2 linked regions of the Notamacropus eugenii genome follow. The protein of the gene in region 1 interacts with the protein of each later gene in a pairwise test. Links are inferred from orthologs where the notes say so. Each region holds a gene or a part of one and is shown in the gene's direction. Other genes may lie near its edges.

Region 1 (3,916 bases):
GTAGGATATATATATATTAACCCACTATCTATCTATCTATCTATCTATCTATCTCTCTATCTCTCTATCTCTCTATCTCTCTATCTCTCTATCTCTATCTATCTATAGATATGTAGTGGGTTAATTTAGAGGTCGAAGGGACCTCTCAGAGACTATCTAGTAGAATTCCCCCATTTTTGTAATAAGCACATAGTAGGTGCTAAATTAATGCTTGTTGAGTTGGATGAGAGAGATTCTGGGGGTTAATTGGATATACATATGTTGGATCACAGATTTAAAGATGGGAAGGACCTCAGAGGCTATTTAATCCACTTCCTCCATTTTACAGATGAGGAAACTGAAGGCCAGATGAAGTGACTTGCCCAAAGCCATTTAGCCAGAAAGTAGCACAGCCAAGATTGAACCCAAAGCCCTGATTCCAAATACATTGGTTTTTTCTATTTTAAATACATTGTCTCCGAAGGAGCTCATTCTTGTTAACACTTAGCTGGCAGAACCAGCCCTGGTTTCATCTTTCAGATCCTGGGAAGCTCACCTCACCTGGCCCCACAATTATCATTATCACATTCCCTTCCCACACTGGTCAATGACTCCAATTGTCATACTCTAGAGATGGCTTCTAGTATTATACCTAACTCACTTAAAGATCCGTCTCAGGGAGGTTGATGGAGCTATAGGGGGTCAGCGTCCATTTTAATAGAATGTCAGAGATGGACAGGGCCTTTGGGATCACCAAGTCTAACAAGCGAACTGAGGGACCTGGATCCTGTGATTTCCAGCCATAGCTGGGAGTAGAATCCAGGGCTTTGAGGAGGGAGAAAAAAATACATTTATTAAGTACCTCTGTGCCCCAAATTGTGTTGATCTTCACAACTCTTCGAGGTAGGTGCTGTTATTATTTTCCTTTTAAAACTGAGGAAGCTGAGGCAGACAGAAGTTAAATGACTTGCCTGTGGTCACACAGGTAAGTGAGGCTAGGTCTGAACTTAGTGCTTCCTGACCCCGGGGCCCACAGCCCTATCCACTGCACCAGGGAGGACCAAGCATAGATGGCTCTGGAAAGTCAAAGTGGGGATCAAGGGCTGAATAGACCTAGAGAGTCAGGCACCTCCTAGACATGAAACCAGAATCTGCCCTCTGCCCCAGGGGTGGGGATGGTGGAGGGTGGCACCCATGCCCCAGACCATGCCCCCTGTTGGTTGGTTGGTTGTTCCCTCCCCCTTCTTCTTGGGAGCTGAAACCTTAGTGTCCCCTCTAGTGTGAATGGGATCTGCTGGCTGCTCTGGACACCTGGGCCCCTCCCCTGTTCCCTCCCCCCACCTCCTTGGACACCTAGGTCCCAAAGGCCTGGATAATAATAGCACAAACACTCCCCACCCTAGTGGCCGGAGGAGTATTCTCTTGTTTTTCTCCTCCCTCCTTCCTCCAGGCCCCGCCTCCACCTTTCCAATCCCAGTCACTTTACCGCCTCTCCAGCCTTGCCTCCCGGTTCTACCACCTCTCTACTCCCCTCCCCCGTCCTAGCACATTTTCTGGAAAGAGAAACTCAGGAATCTGACCCTGGTGTCCTGGACCCTCGGCTGTCACCAGACAGAGCCGGACGTTGGACCCTAGGCATTTGAGCCTCTCATACTGGGGCTTCCCAGGTAGGAAGAGAAATATCCAAGAAAACAACCTCCACTCACCCTTATCCTCAGTATCTTTGTAGCTGCTGTCTGTGCCAGGGCCCCTTACAGGTGGACTTGATGTCTAGTGGGCAGTGTCGTAACCCCAGCCCCGTTCCCATGATGGCAGGTGGAACCTATGAAGGTTGGAGGGCTAAGGAACCTGCAAAGGGTACTGGGGTGGCGGGGAGACACAGGTGGATAAAGGCAAGGTATGTCCCTCCCCAAACAGATGGCCCCAGCCAGATGTGTAGCAGCACCCAGGGTCCAGGTAAGGGCCGAGCTCGGCAGCTTTTCCTGTCTCTTCCGACATACCTGGGGACGCCCTCCTGCCCAGATCCTTCCTTCTTTGTTTCCGGCCTGCCTGTGTTTTCTTCTTTCACCTGCTTCTCCCCTCTTTCCATGACCTCCTTTGGGTCCTCTGTGACTCCTCCATTGCTAAAGGTCTCTTCTGTTTCTCTGTGGGGAGAATATTTGCCAGCATTGTGTCAGCTGAAGGGTGGCGGCAATAGGGAATCTTTTCTCATTTGGATGATTTCTGCTTCCCCTGGACAGCCCTCCCCCTTCCCTTCCTAAAAGGGAGATGGGGGTTGGAGGGAGGCATTAATTGGAGGCTCAGTGTCACAGTAAGCCCCCATTCCTGTTCATCTCTGCAAAGCTACTGTGAGCTTGCCCTGATTGGGATGCCCTAAGATTTGTCTAGAAAGGGGTCTATCTGGGCTTCTTGAAAACTTCATTTGGGGGATCAGTAAAATGATTAGGGCACACTGAATTAGGATTAGTTTTGGGAGGAGGGAATTAATTGTTCCTTCTTTCTCCCTAACTTTCCTTTCATTGCAGATGGGCTCAACACTGGTCCCCACCTTCCAGCTCCCCAGCAAAAGAGCTTAAATCTCAAGGATCTTGTTAACTGGGTTCTAGCTGTGTCAAAGAATGTGGGTGGAGGACAAGGGAAACTCAGCAGTGATACCCCAGTTTCAGGGCAGCTTTGCTGGGAGCCTATCCACCTCAGTCCACCAAGCAATGAAAGGAAAGTTGGGGAGAAAGAAGGAAATTATGAGGTTGGATGTCTGGGTCCCCGTGCTAGAGACTGGAGAATGGAGAGATGGGGGTCCTACTGCTTCATTTCCCACTGTAGGATGAGGTAGGAGAGCTCTCTGTACTCTGAAAAGGATGCAGGATAGTTGGATTCCATTCTTGCTATACATTCTTCTCCTCATGGGGAATTTCAATTTTACTTCCCTAGTGCAGCTTTAATAAAGACTGGGGATAAGAAATCTGTTACTTTTGGACTCTGCTTCCCTCCCCCCCCAAATCAGCTTAGGGGAGATGGGAGCTCTACCCCCCTATCCCCCGGGTAAATAACCAATAATGATTAACCCTAATCAAATTTTGGCCACTTTTGCATATTTTCCAAATTAAACTTTAAAAGAAATCCTCCCCCTTTCAGAGGCAGACACACCTTTGTTGTGAATATCTTCTTGTGGGTAGGTTGAACCTCAGTTTCCTGGTATCTTCCTACCTGATGCAAAGGTCACGGAAGATGTCATCCTGGGTTTCTATATTGTTTACCAGTGATCTCCCAAAGTTGCACCTCAAAGATTCCCCCTTTTCTTCCCAAATTTCATTTAAAGGGAGAATCTGGGATTCTTACTCCAAGGGGGAGATTCATTCCCCGCAAATGGGGATGCAGGGACTACCTCAGCCTATGGAGAGAAGGGAGGACCTCTACCAAATAACCTCTGGACCCTTTTCCATTGTCCAATCCTACTTCTTCAACCTTTACATAATTTTTTCCAATCTTTCCCCTGCCCTACAAAACTCCCAGTGTCTCCCAGACCTCCAGTGCCTCACTGAGAGTTTTCAAGACTGTGATGTTTAGAGTAGGACTTAGAATATTTAATATTGTGGTCCCTGACCCTCAGACTTTCCTCTCCCAGCTTTTGCTAGCCAGGTGGGGCAAGTTTCAGGAAGTAAACAAGGAGGCTGGGGAGAGAAAGGGGGTGGAGAAGAGAGCTTCCGGGGAACTTGGGGTGGGAGGGAAATACTTTTGAGGTGCGGAGAGCTTTGGCGGAGTATGAGCTTCTTTGGAGTACGGAAGTCTGGGGATGCCTGAGGGCAATTCCCCTCCTTCATGAACCTTTCCCCCCTTTGTTTGTATTCTCCAAACCAGTTTGGTAGGTGTGGGAGGCCAGACTGGCCATTCCGACTTTGCCCCTCTGGGTCTTGTCTCGTTCACCTCACCTACTTTC
Region 2 (3,916 bases), about 81 Mb from region 1:
ATATACCCCATAAAGGGATGGCCCAATAAACATCCTTTTACAAGCAAGCAGTTAATACATTCTAACCAAATCATCCTTACATAAAGTTGCAAAACCGCTGGGATATTGGTTGGCTGACTGATCACCCAATTACAACATGGTTCCTTTGGATTGAAGTGCTTCTTGCAACATCATCCTACCAAAAATGTAATTTTTGTAGAGCCAATTAATGATGTCAAATGGGGTATGTCTGTATGGGAGGAGGAGGAAGTAAAAGAAGTCATAGTAGTGGAATCTCTGCTTTGCACCCTGCTTTGGGGATGTTATACCACTTTAATTATGATATGTGTGAAAGGAGAGGAGGGAGGAGAGAAAGCAACTATTTATTAATTGCCAACATTTACATAGCACTTTTATTTATTAATAGTTTATTTTTATGCATCTTTATACACACACACACACATATATATACATATATATATATACATATATATATATATATACATACGAAGTTTGAAAGGCACTTGACTTACATTTCCTAAGTTGATGCTTTCAACCATTTTGTAAAGTAGGTAATCTTAACCCCATTTTACAGATGAAAAAACAGGCTCAGAAAAGTCAAATAACTTGCTCAAAGTCACACAGTCAGGAAGTGTCACAAGGGAGATTTAAACTAGGTCTTTCTGACTCCAAAGCCAGCAGTCTATCTCTAATGCCATACCCCCTCTTTATCTACTACCTGCAAACAGTGGAACCTAAAAGACAAGAAGATGAATACCTCACGATGCCCACAATCTAGTTGAGGATGACACAAGAGACAGTGGGATATGTGCACAAGTAGGATGAGAAAAAAAGGTATTGTGGGAGTTCCAAAGGAGGAAAAATAATTAGAAGGGAGAATGTGACTATTGGTCAGATTAGAATGGAGGAAGCAGGCAAGTAGGAGGTAAGAGACACAGTGGTAGGAGGGGCAAGCCTCTGAAAGATTCACACCCACACACATAGACACCCCCCACCCAGGAAAGCCTTAAAAAACAATCCCACAACAGACATACTTCTCAAGTGAGGAGGATGCAATGCAGTAAATGTTCTCTCAATGTTCTATTTCCAATCCTACTCCCATGTTCCCTTCTCCTTCATTGTACGCTTTCTGTATGGGCTCAGGGCTCAAGTCTGTACTGAAAGAGTCTCTCTCTTCCTTCATCAAGTCTCCTCTCACCTGCTCCAGCATCCCGGGTGCTTTGAGGGCTTTTCCTTATGAGGTGCTAGAACTCCAAGTCAAAGGAAGAAGCCAGCCAAGGGACAGGTTATGACCTAGAGCTGGTCTGTTGGGTGAATGGAATTCCTGCCAGTTTCACCTTCCCTTTCTGCTTCCTACTGGGTAAGATGGCTTTTTGGGGAGTGAGAAAATGGATGGGGTGGCCAGAATCAAGCATGTGGGTGTCACTGTCAAAATGGGACAGTGGGGGAGTTAGAAGGGATTTATGGAACTGAAATAGACAGCATATTAACTCCCTGTGGGAGGGAGGATATGTAATAATTGAGAGTTGAATTTGTAAGTGGAAGATTTAATTGAATGCATACAGTGAAGGAGGGACATCATGGTAAGTGAACCACTGTATTCTGTTTATATCCATTTCTCTGGGAAGGGAAAGGAGTCTTGGGGAATGGGTGAAGAGAAGCCAGAAGGATCTTGTTCCAGGCAGCAAAATGGCAATTCTCCCTGAAGATGGTGAAATTTAGTACCAGTTGTCAACATTTCTACCTCCATCCTCTACCCGAGGACCTTTCCCAATAAGGGAGGAGGGATTATGGAGTGAAGTAGATCTAAGCAAATGTACAAGATGCTTTCAGAGCTTTTTTAGAAGTCACCAGAGTCTGGGGCTGCTCTTATTAAGGAAACAGGATGTCAAATAAGGATTAAGAACTGTGATATTGGGGACTCCATGGATGAGAAAACTCCCTCTAACAATGACAAGCAACAATTTCTCTGCAACTTACAGTCCAATGTGTTAGATGTGGGTCTTTCTGTCTTCAAGGCCAGCTTGCTGTCCACTTCACTACACTACCTGTGGGTTGGCACATAAAAATGACTGCTGGGGTGGGGCACACAGAGGACAGAGCAAGGAGGTTTTAAGTTGGTTTAGAAAAAAAAAGGAAAGAGTCAGAGGCAAAAGTGATTGTTAGTCAAGAGATACCCATGTGACCTTGGGTCACTACTGTGAGATGTCTATGAAGGTCAGCCAGTAAGGGAATCTTCATTCAAATCAGACACATTGGCAAATATTTTCAGACTCTCAGGCATATAGGGCATGACACCCAAGGGGCAAAACCATGTTAACCACCTCGGAAACTGTTAAGAACAGGAGAAATCCCTTATCCCTTAGCAAGTGTCAATCAGCAAGCATTTACGAAGCAAGCTCTGTGCCAGATACAAAGACAGAAGTAAAGCAGTCTCTGCCCTCAAAGAGCTCACATCTTACCAGGGGAGACATGTAAATGTAAAGAAAGCTATTTATAGAGAAAAGCAGAGAGACTAAACAACCTTTGTGAGTTCTTCCATCTTCTTCATTCCTGAGAAAAAAAGAAATCCAACTGTGAGTTAACTGATCTCACTGTGTCTCGGAAATCCAGGAAGAGTAATGCACCCTTCCCATGCCAGGGCCCAAAGTCATTCATTCCCCTCTTCCTATTCCAGACAAACCCAGGGAAATGTTAAGTACAGAGTAAGCACTGAAAATATTTGTTATTCTATCACATTAAAAACCAATCACCGCTTCCTGTGCCCCTTGCTACATCAGCACATTGGAACTGATGTTTCCTGCCGCTGACTCTCTGTTTCCACTCTGGTAAAGCTGCCAGCTACCTTCTAACAGCACAGGGAGGCTCTACTTCTTAGCAGGGCTTCCTCTCTATCACTTGGCCATCTCTCCCTCACTCAGTGCTTCACGTACCACACTCTTCTCCCACAAGCCCACCCACAAGGAAGCAAAGATCACAAAGTGGCCTCTAAACCACTTCTGGATCCAGAGGAAGGTCACAGGTTACAGCGTAGAGTGGATGCACATAGGAGGAGTTCAACTAGCTTGTGCAGGTGAGGCCAACCAGCCTAAGACAGATATAGCAAGGACTGGGCGTTTGTTGAGGAAAGAAGGAGGATAGGATCAGGAAAGCTCAAAGAAAGGAATGGGAAAAAAAGGGTGATTTCTTTGTGGGAGAGGCAGCATATTACAATGGAAAGTGAACTGGACTGGGAGGAGGAGAACATAGGTTTGAAATTTGTCCCTTCAACTCAGCATCAAAGATTTAAAGCTAAAAGGGACCTTAAAGGTCATGGAGTCTGACTCCTTGGTTTTGTAAAGGAGGGAAATGAGGCAATAGGGAGGTGAATGATGAAGGATCACTGCTAGTATTAGTAAGTGTCATGAGCTTGAATCCAGATTTTCCTGATTCCAAGTTCATTGTCCTCTCCACTAAACCACGTTGGAGCTTTGGGCAAATTGCTTCTCTGCTCTGGGTCTCTGGCCTGCAAAATGAAGGAGTTAAACTAGATGATTTGTAAGGTCTCTCTAGATCCTCTAATCCTGTGAGTCTGATTTTTAAAAAATCAAATTGGAGGATCCCAAAAGGAAAGAAAAAGGAATTGGGGAGTCCTTAAAAGAAAAGGCCCTAGATACCAGGAGAATTGCAATGTAATTTAGTATTAAGTGGTAATAAGCTAATTAGATTCATCATAATTGGATACAAATAACAGACAAATTCACTTTTGCTCTGGGGAATCAACAACTCAAAAGGCTTTCTGCATTAAAGAGCAAACTATTCTGAGAAATCAATAGCAGAGAAGAATACGGTAATTTGGGAGAGAGTGGACCTAGAACTAAAATGTGATCTATTTTTTCCAACCCAGACGTTCATTTAGCAATTTAACCCACAATGG

The links.
Region 2: the proteins of GRB7 (region 1) and LAX1 interact in binary tests that used the Homo sapiens proteins (3 or more experiments, as listed by UniProt). The two-hybrid records come from large-scale screens. The link is inferred for Notamacropus eugenii from reciprocal best matches to the Homo sapiens genes GRB7 and LAX1.

The regions. Positions count from the first base shown.
Region 1 is NC_092873.1:355,269,789-355,273,704, forward strand, and holds the start of GRB7 (growth factor receptor-bound protein 7), read left to right. Parts: upstream 1-1,572; 5' UTR 1,573-1,646; intron 1,647-1,896; 5' UTR 1,897-1,910; coding exon 1,911-1,935; intron 1,936-3,916. UniProt on the Homo sapiens protein: Adapter protein that interacts with the cytoplasmic domain of numerous receptor kinases and modulates down-stream signaling. Promotes activation of down-stream protein kinases, including STAT3, AKT1, MAPK1 and/or MAPK3. Promotes activation of HRAS.
Region 2 is NC_092873.1:436,194,642-436,198,557, reverse strand, and holds the start of LAX1 (lymphocyte transmembrane adapter 1), read left to right. Parts: upstream 1-1,032; 5' UTR 1,033-1,360; intron 1,361-1,375; exon of another isoform or gene 1,376-3,073; intron 3,074-3,886; 5' UTR 3,887-3,912; coding exon 3,913-3,916. UniProt on the Homo sapiens protein: Negatively regulates TCR (T-cell antigen receptor)-mediated signaling in T-cells and BCR (B-cell antigen receptor)-mediated signaling in B-cells.